Arabidopsis thaliana: one gene and its partner. The main gene of each other region encodes a partner of the protein of the gene in region 2 in a complex. Each region holds a gene or a part of one and is shown on either strand. Other genes may lie near its edges.

Evidence for each region. The genes of interacting proteins can lie anywhere in the genome.
Region 1: RPL16A (region 2) and AT2G19730 share a complex: the UniProt entries of both Arabidopsis thaliana proteins name them as parts of the large ribosomal subunit.

Annotation. Positions count from the first base shown.
Region 1 is NC_003071.7:8,509,713-8,513,791, forward strand, and holds AT2G19730 (Ribosomal L28e protein family), read left to right. Parts: upstream 1-1,773; 5' UTR 1,774-1,848; exon of another isoform or gene 1,849-1,879; intron 1,880-2,026; exon of another isoform or gene 2,027-2,030; 5' UTR 2,031-2,039; coding exon 2,040-2,187; intron 2,188-2,657; coding exon 2,658-2,821; intron 2,822-3,163; coding exon 3,164-3,283; 3' UTR 3,284-3,579; downstream 3,580-4,079. Other genes in the region: AT2G19710 (Regulator of Vps4 activity in the MVB pathway protein), read left to right, coding at 1-105; rps15ab (ribosomal protein S15A B), read right to left, coding at 511-609, 681-841, 1,417-1,546; AT2G19740 (Ribosomal protein L31e family protein), read left to right, coding at 3,865-3,944. UniProt on the Arabidopsis thaliana protein: Component of the large ribosomal subunit. Essential in leaf polarity establishment, probably having a role for translation in leaf dorsoventral patterning to specify leaf adaxial identity.
Region 2 is NC_003071.7:17,790,097-17,793,666, reverse strand, and holds RPL16A (ribosomal protein large subunit 16A), read right to left. Parts: upstream 1,976-3,570; 5' UTR 1,874-1,975; coding exon 1,871-1,873; intron 1,793-1,870; coding exon 1,685-1,792; intron 1,599-1,684; coding exon 1,556-1,598; intron 1,210-1,555; coding exon 1,014-1,209; intron 920-1,013; coding exon 721-919; 3' UTR 525-720; downstream 1-524. Other genes in the region: AT2G42750 (DNAJ heat shock N-terminal domain-containing protein), read right to left, coding at 15-263; AT2G42730 (F-box/FBD/LRR protein), read left to right, coding at 2,449-3,366, 3,521-3,570. UniProt on the Arabidopsis thaliana protein: Component of the ribosome, a large ribonucleoprotein complex responsible for the synthesis of proteins in the cell.

The DNA of each region.
Region 1 (4,079 bases), 9.3 Mb from region 2:
CCATCCAGGGAGAGGGAGAGAGCTAGTCATGTTCACCCCAACCTCCCAGAATATGACGATATCTTTGCAAGGCTCGGAGCGCTTCGTGCTCCCAGTCGACGCTGAATCTGCTCATCTTGTCCTTCTGTTCATATATATATTCTTTCACACGGAAAACAGTTCCCCTCATTCTTTACTCTGACTGAATTTGATATTCTTACACGTTATACAGATTGAAGTAGTGGTGTGATTCTGCTTGGTCTTGATTGGTTTTCCTTGTCTTTTTTTTTTTTGTGTGGATAAACAGAATAGAAAATAACTATTTGCGAAGAGAAAGATTTTATAATACCATTCGAAATGTTGTCATAATAGAAATAAATTTTGTTCTCTAATTCTCCATCTTGCTGAAACTGCAGTGCAAGAAAACAAACAAACAAACAAACAATGTCGAAAAAGCCAGACAAATGACATGTTATGGCAGGGTTTGACATATCAAAGTCCCTCCATCAGAGTTTCTTTCCGTATTGCAGTTCAATGAAAGAAACCAAGAACCTGACCACCCACATTCCGTTTAATAGCTTCTTCATGATCCAAAATGCCATCGGGAGTTGTAATCACTATATAACCCCACTGCATATAACAAATTAAAGAAGGTTTAAGTTACGATTAGTTGCATATTCAGAACTAGTGTAGAACCGAACCTGGCGCGTTGGAAGTGTGCGTTCTGTGTATTGCCCGATCTCATTTGCCTTAACGTCCTGCCTATAAGTGAGAGCTTTGCAATCATTAACCCTTCCTTGTAGATCAACAGTTATTCTTCCAACTCTGTGTGGATCATGGACTTGGAAGTTCTTGATGTACCCTATACATAATACATCAACATACATTTTGTAAAGTAATAGACAAAAAACTAGCTGATTCTGCGGTTTGAGCATAGAAATGGTATCTTTATACTTCAGTCACAAACTATCAACTTTGAAAAGAACTACTTCAAATTCCTAACTAAAAACATACAAAACACAGACGAAGATCGAAACAAACTTAAGTTAGACCATAAACTAAACAGGAGCAGATATGACTTTCTCCAACCATAGATCAAGATGTAACTTATCCATAAGAATCAAAAAACAGAAACTTTTCAATCTTCTGCAACTTCATAGTTAACCAAGAACAAAGCTTAATCATTGGGACCATGTTGTAACCAATCTCTTACATCGAGTGATCACACATGGAAATTCTTGAGCTATACGTGTTAGGATCAGCTCAAGGACCAACAAAACAATAGAGACTATGGATCATTAATCATACTTCACTACAAGCAAAAGTGACTAAAACCAATGTCGACGAAACTGATAAATCTAAACAAGTAGATGAAAAATTAGGGAAATGAATTAAGACCCAATTAGACCAGAAGAAAGAAGAAGTGAAAAATCTCACCTTTCTCTTTCATGATTTTGAGAAACGAAGACATTACGGTAGAGACAGGTTTCAACTCCACCGAAGCTTTCCCTCGCTTCTCAGCATTCACGATCGTTCTCAATGCATCGTTCAATATTCTCCTCCCCATTGATCGAAAATTCCGATTTCTAATACAAATTCTATAATCGAATGACAACGAATCAAAAAGAATCGATAACCCCTAAAGTTCAACAGAGCAGCAGGAAATGGGTTTATTCCAACGTTTCTCAGAATTGTGGGTATTTCGACATTTCGAAAAACATTAGGGGTATTTTAGACTTTTCACGTTCACTTACATGAGCTAGGGTTTTATTTTTTTCAGAGGTCATATATAAATAGCTCCATTCGTCTTCTAACAAAGCTCCGGCGCCACCATTAAAATCTCTCGATCTCTATCTGCGAAATTTCACGGTGAGCTTAGTATTACTCTCAATTGTTCTCAGTTCAGTATGTCTTGATTTTCGTAGCTTAGATGATCTGATTTTGTGTAGATATTTTGATTCAGCGAGCTCTATAGTAGTAGCCTTTAGGAATCGATCTGTTAATGTATGTGTTGTTGATTGGTAGTATCATTTTTGGTGTGGTGAAGGTAGGTATTTGAAATGGCGACAGTTCCAGGACAATTGATCTGGGAGATCGTGAAGAACAACAACTGTTTCTTGGTGAAGCAGTTCGGTAGAGGAAACTCTAAGGTTCAATTCAGCAAGGAGACTAACAACCTCACCAACGTTCACTCTTACAAGCACTCTGGTAAATTTGTACTCTTGTTTACGAGATTCTTTGTTTCTGAACGAAATGATATCTTGGCCATTTGAGAACAAATGATTACTTTACATCTCTGGTTGGTTGATTTAGTAGAATAGATTGGGAACTAAAGTTGTTAAGAAATGTTGATGTGTTAAGTGCTTTTGGTTCTATGAAAGATTGTGGATTCTCGACTATTAGATGATTGTGGTTGAAACTTGGCTGTTTGAGATCGTCTTTATGCACTATTTTATTGATTCTCGAGTATAAGCTTATTTTCTTATCTGTTGCAAGTTGACCGTGAAATGTAGTTTCTTTACATTTGACCATTTGAATCTGTATTACAATTGTGTATGTATCTTCTAATTTAAAGACAAAAATGGTAGTCTGAGTTGAGCAGACACTTCATACTATGTATTAGGTTTTGTTATTGTCTTGAATTAGGCTAAAGTTTGAATCTTTTGATGTGGTTTCAGGTCTTGCAAACAAAAAGACTGTGACCATCCAGGCCGCTGACAAGGACCAAGCTGTTGTGCTCGCCACCACCAAGACCAAGAAGCAGAACAAGCCTAAGCTCTCTGTCAACAAGTCTATCCTCAAGAAGGAATTCCCCAGGATGTCAAAGGCTGTTGCTAACCAGGTATTACTCAATTTTTATTACTTTAGTGTTTTTTATATGTCTATGGTGTGCTTATAGGTCTCTATATCTAGTTTTGTGTGTTATTTTCACGGCTATGATCTACAATTGGTTTTTATGTTCTTCCCTCTACCTGTGAGAGGAGAGTTAATATGTTATGGTAAAACGATATGATGCATAGCTGTGCAAAGATTAAAATTTAACTTCATATAAGGCTCCTTTTTGTGGCATATTGATGAAATATTAATTTTACACTTGGCTATTTTCATTGATCTGCTTAATGTTGCTGTTTATTGGTTTCATACGTGAATACAATCTAAACCAAATGATTGTGTAAATGTTTAGGTGGTGGACAACTACTACAGGCCGGACTTGAAGAAAGCTGCACTTGCTAGACTCAGCGCCATCAGCAAAGGTCTCAGGGTTGCCAAGTCCGGTGCCAAGCAAAGAAACAGACAAGCTTAAGCTTCTTCTTTCACAATCTGTTTTTTTTGAAGTAAAAGATTTTGTTGAACAGGTTTTATTTAAGTTGTTGCTTTGAAGTTGAACCATAATGCTATTCTCCTTTTTCATTATCCTTATTATAAAGGAGTTAGAAGTTTATCTTGTTATGCTTGATGTTTCTGGTGTGCTTGTGTTACATTTTGTTAGATCCTTTTATCGAATCAAGAACTTTCTTAAAATCTCTATTCTAGATTTTATTAGCAAATCAAATGTAATCAACAACCAAGTCCTTATATATTATGACTTTTGAAAGCCTAAATTGACTCAAAATAGCAAACATAAATGTTTAGATTTGTTGCATCAAATGTGATGTTCTTGTGGACTATAATGTTGACATTTTCATTAGATCCCATCAAAAACCAACTTGAGAATTCCATCTTAGCATGCTCTATACTTATCCAAAAGCCCATCAGGCCCATAGACGGCCCAACTTATAGCATACGGAAAGGTTTATATTAGGGTTTCTTAGACATGAATTAATTCTGTTCTCTTGCTGTGGCCGTCTCCAACACCATTTCGAAGACCAGGGAGATCGAAGCAAAATGGAGAAAGGAAAGGGAAGAAAGGAAGAGGTCGTGACCAGGGAGTACACTATCAATCTCCACAGGCGCCTCCATAGCTGGTAAAACCTAAAGCTTCAATACTTTTGACCTTATTTGCAATATCTCGTTTCCGTTTTGCTTAAGTTCGTTCTGGGCATAGAGTCTAATGATTAGACTAAAATTGCAACTTGTATTGATTCGAATTAGGTTTCTTG
Region 2 (3,570 bases):
GCCTTGGTTCTTACGAGTCCGAGAACGGCATAGTAATCATCGGCGACATCACCGGTGGAAAGAGAAGAAGCATCCTCAGTTGCAACTCTCAATCTTCCGATTGAATCGGTTCGCCTCTTTCCTGCGTACCGAGGTAAGTACCAAGATGAAGAAGCACCGGTGGTCTTCGCCGAGAACCGCGGCGACGCACCTGATCTGGAGCTAAGAGCTGAGTTCTGGAACTTCAAAAGATCCGTACAAACAGGGGAAAGTATCTGCGCCATTGAAGAACTTCAAAAGATCCGACCCGATCCTGTTCCGATCGCTCAAATTAATTTCAATTTCATTCGTAGGAGAAGATGAACATTTATTTGAATTAATATTTTTATTATTTTTGTGAAGAATTTAAGGCGTACGAGGGAGAAATGCTGACGTGGCAAGATAAGAACCAGGGAAGCTTATTTGGAGGAATCCGAGATGAATCTAGCGGCGATCGGCGATCGGCGAAAGCGTGCTTAGCCGTCCGTGGCACGTGTCAGCTAGTGGATTTATATGTCTCCACACGCTTCAACTACCCGCCAAAATTTTCTTATCTTGCTTATCCTCACACGAAATTAGATACTTAAATAACTGAAACTAAAGCCAATAATGCATATAAAGTACAAAGATTAAGATTCAGACAAGTAAACAAAACTGAGACAGGGTTTTCTAAAACAGAAGAAAGAGTTAGGAGGAATTGTTTTAGCCAGTGATGTTCTGGGACTTGTTGAGAATGACTCCTTCGTATTTCACCTGGAACCATTTCATTGCATCGTCTTTAGTTACTCTGTGTTGGATACCAACACGAGCCTTGCACCTTCTGCGACGTGCTACACGGTAGCCAGGACGTTCTAGGACCACATAGAAGTCCATACCATAGATTCCAGTTGATGGATCGTACCTTTATAAGAAGTGAAACAAAGATCAATGAGTATCACCAAGAATGTGGTGAACCCCAAGTGTTATGACAGGATGATTTAAGGGGATTGACTTACTTGATACCCAAATCAATGTGTTCTTGAATACCAAAACCGAAGCAACCAGTGTCACTGAAGTTTCTTCTGAGAAGTTCGTATTCCTTGACTTTCAATCCACTTTCAAGTAGTTGCATTGCCTTCTCACCTCTGACGGTTACATAGCATGCGATCTTCTCGTTACGTCTGATACCAAAAGAACGAACAGTGTATCTAGCTGCAAAAGCCACACATAACAAGGGTTCTTGAAAATTGCAATGGAAGAAGCTAAACCAAATCATGTCTCTCAGAGCAAACCAAAAGCGATGCATATAAAACAGAGTGCACAACGCAACTATATCAGAAGCGGGGAAACGAACAGCTCCTAATTTGGACTGGTAGGCTTATCAAGTTATCACAAACCACCAGATAAGGGACTTACTGGATTCCAAAATCTCAAATTCATCATCAAACCATGCACCCATTCATAGACTTAACTAAACTATGTTTCCCAAATTCTTCTAGATTACTAAATCTATCAACCAGACTATTTGTAAGCTTTCAAATATGAGAAAAAATCTAACCTTTGGAGAAAACAGGAGTCTGACCACTCAATTGTTCCAAAACCTACCAAGTAACCACGAATCAATCGATTATAACCAAGTGACAACAAGAGTGAAAACCACAGAGAATGGGTAAAAAACAGGAGGAACCTTGGAGGCTCTGGTGAGACGATCTCCACTCTCACCAACGGAGATGTTGAGAACCAGCTTCTGCACTTTAATGTCCCTCATTGGGTTCGATAGCTTCTTCTCCGACGCCTGAATTTCAAAAGTAAGTAAATCTTCAAATCCCTATTCACATTACAAAATCATACAAATCCAAGAACTGAAACTTACCATTTGGAATTTGGGTTGCGAAATTATCACCGGCCGACGGGAAAGGAGAGACGGAGAACGAAACGACTATTTAAATGTTAGAAGCCCTAATCCTAAGTGTAAAGAACGGCGACTATTTAAATGACAGTTTTACCCTTAAAGGCCCACGCTTCTCTCACGTGACTTTCTTTCCCAAACAGACTACTTACCTTTTCTTCATCAGTCTTTCTGCTTTACTCTTTCCTCATGTGGAAATGGAGGAAATTGCTTATAATAAGTTGTTTCAGTTTCTTCGTCTCTTCTCTTAAACTTTCCAAAACCCTAGTATTCGATGTTTTCACTTTTGATCTCACGATTAAATTGGTATTGAAAGTGGAGAGCTTTCACGACTCTGTAGCAAGTAGCACTTTAGCAAGGTATGTTGTCTGCTCTGTTTCGTCTTTTTCATTTCTATGGTAATCAATGTGATTGAAGAGATACATGATAACTTTTGTATTAGACTTTGCATTGTATGAAAAAGAACAGACCTTTGAACTCATCAACTCTGTCTAGTTACTGTTTCTGAATCCAATTGCTGTGGTTTTAAGGTTTTGGTATCAATGAATGCTAAAGATGTAATCAGCCGTCTACCAGATGAGGTTCTTGGGCGTATTCTGTCTCTTATCTCCACAAAAGAAGCTGTTTCAACCTCAGTACTCTCTAAGAGGTGGAAGAACATGTTTGTTTTGGTTTCCAATCTTGATATTGATGATCGTCAATCTGTGCCTAAGACTAAGCAAAACCGGATTGAGATTCACAGAAATTACATGGCTTTCGTTGACAAATTGCTAGATACGCAACGTGGTTCTTCTATAAAGAAGCTCACTCTAAAGAGTCATGTTGGTGTTCGAGGTGGCACTGATTCATCTCGCATTCAAAGTTGGATTTGCAACGTTCTTGACCATGGTGTTATGGATCTTGATGTGTTCATTACTTTAAAAGGAAAATCTCCACCAGTGCCTGCAATGATCTTTAAGAGCAAGACATTGGTTAAGCTGAGAGTAGGACGTGGTTTTACAATCAAGCTTTCTCAAGATGTTTCTCTTCCTTTGCTTAGGACATTATGTCTTGACTCAGTTAATTTTGTTGGAGGTCATAATGTTGTTGGAACTCTTATATCTCGCTGTCCTGTTCTCGAAGAACTGGTTGTTGAGGAGCGGCGATGTGTAGATTGGACTTGTTCCGTGTCTTCTCCATCTCTAAAGAGACTACACATCCGATTTGATCGCAAGTTTACTAGTATTTCATTAGATGCTCCTAATCTTATCTACTACAAACACTCTGGTTATGTTTTGGGTAAGTATCCTAATGTTAAGTTGGATTCCCTCATCGAAGCTAGACTCAATCTTCGGATGGATGAAACAAGAATGGTGGGAGTAAGAAATGGATCTCTCGGTTCCATTCCCGCTGATATGAGAAATCTCATCAATGGAATCAGAAATGTTAGAATCCTTCACTTATCTAGCCACACTCTAGAGGTCAGCCTCCTCTATATATTGTTCTTTCCTTATAAATAACATTCTTCTTTTTTTTTGCTTATCGAGAATGAGATTCACTTGGGGCTTTTGATGATTTATTTCAACTTTTGTGTTATTGAGTGACAACAGACTAACACATTGTGTTTTGTTGAAGCTGCTTTATTTCTCATGTAAAGAAATGCCATTGTTCGACAGCCTTGTTAG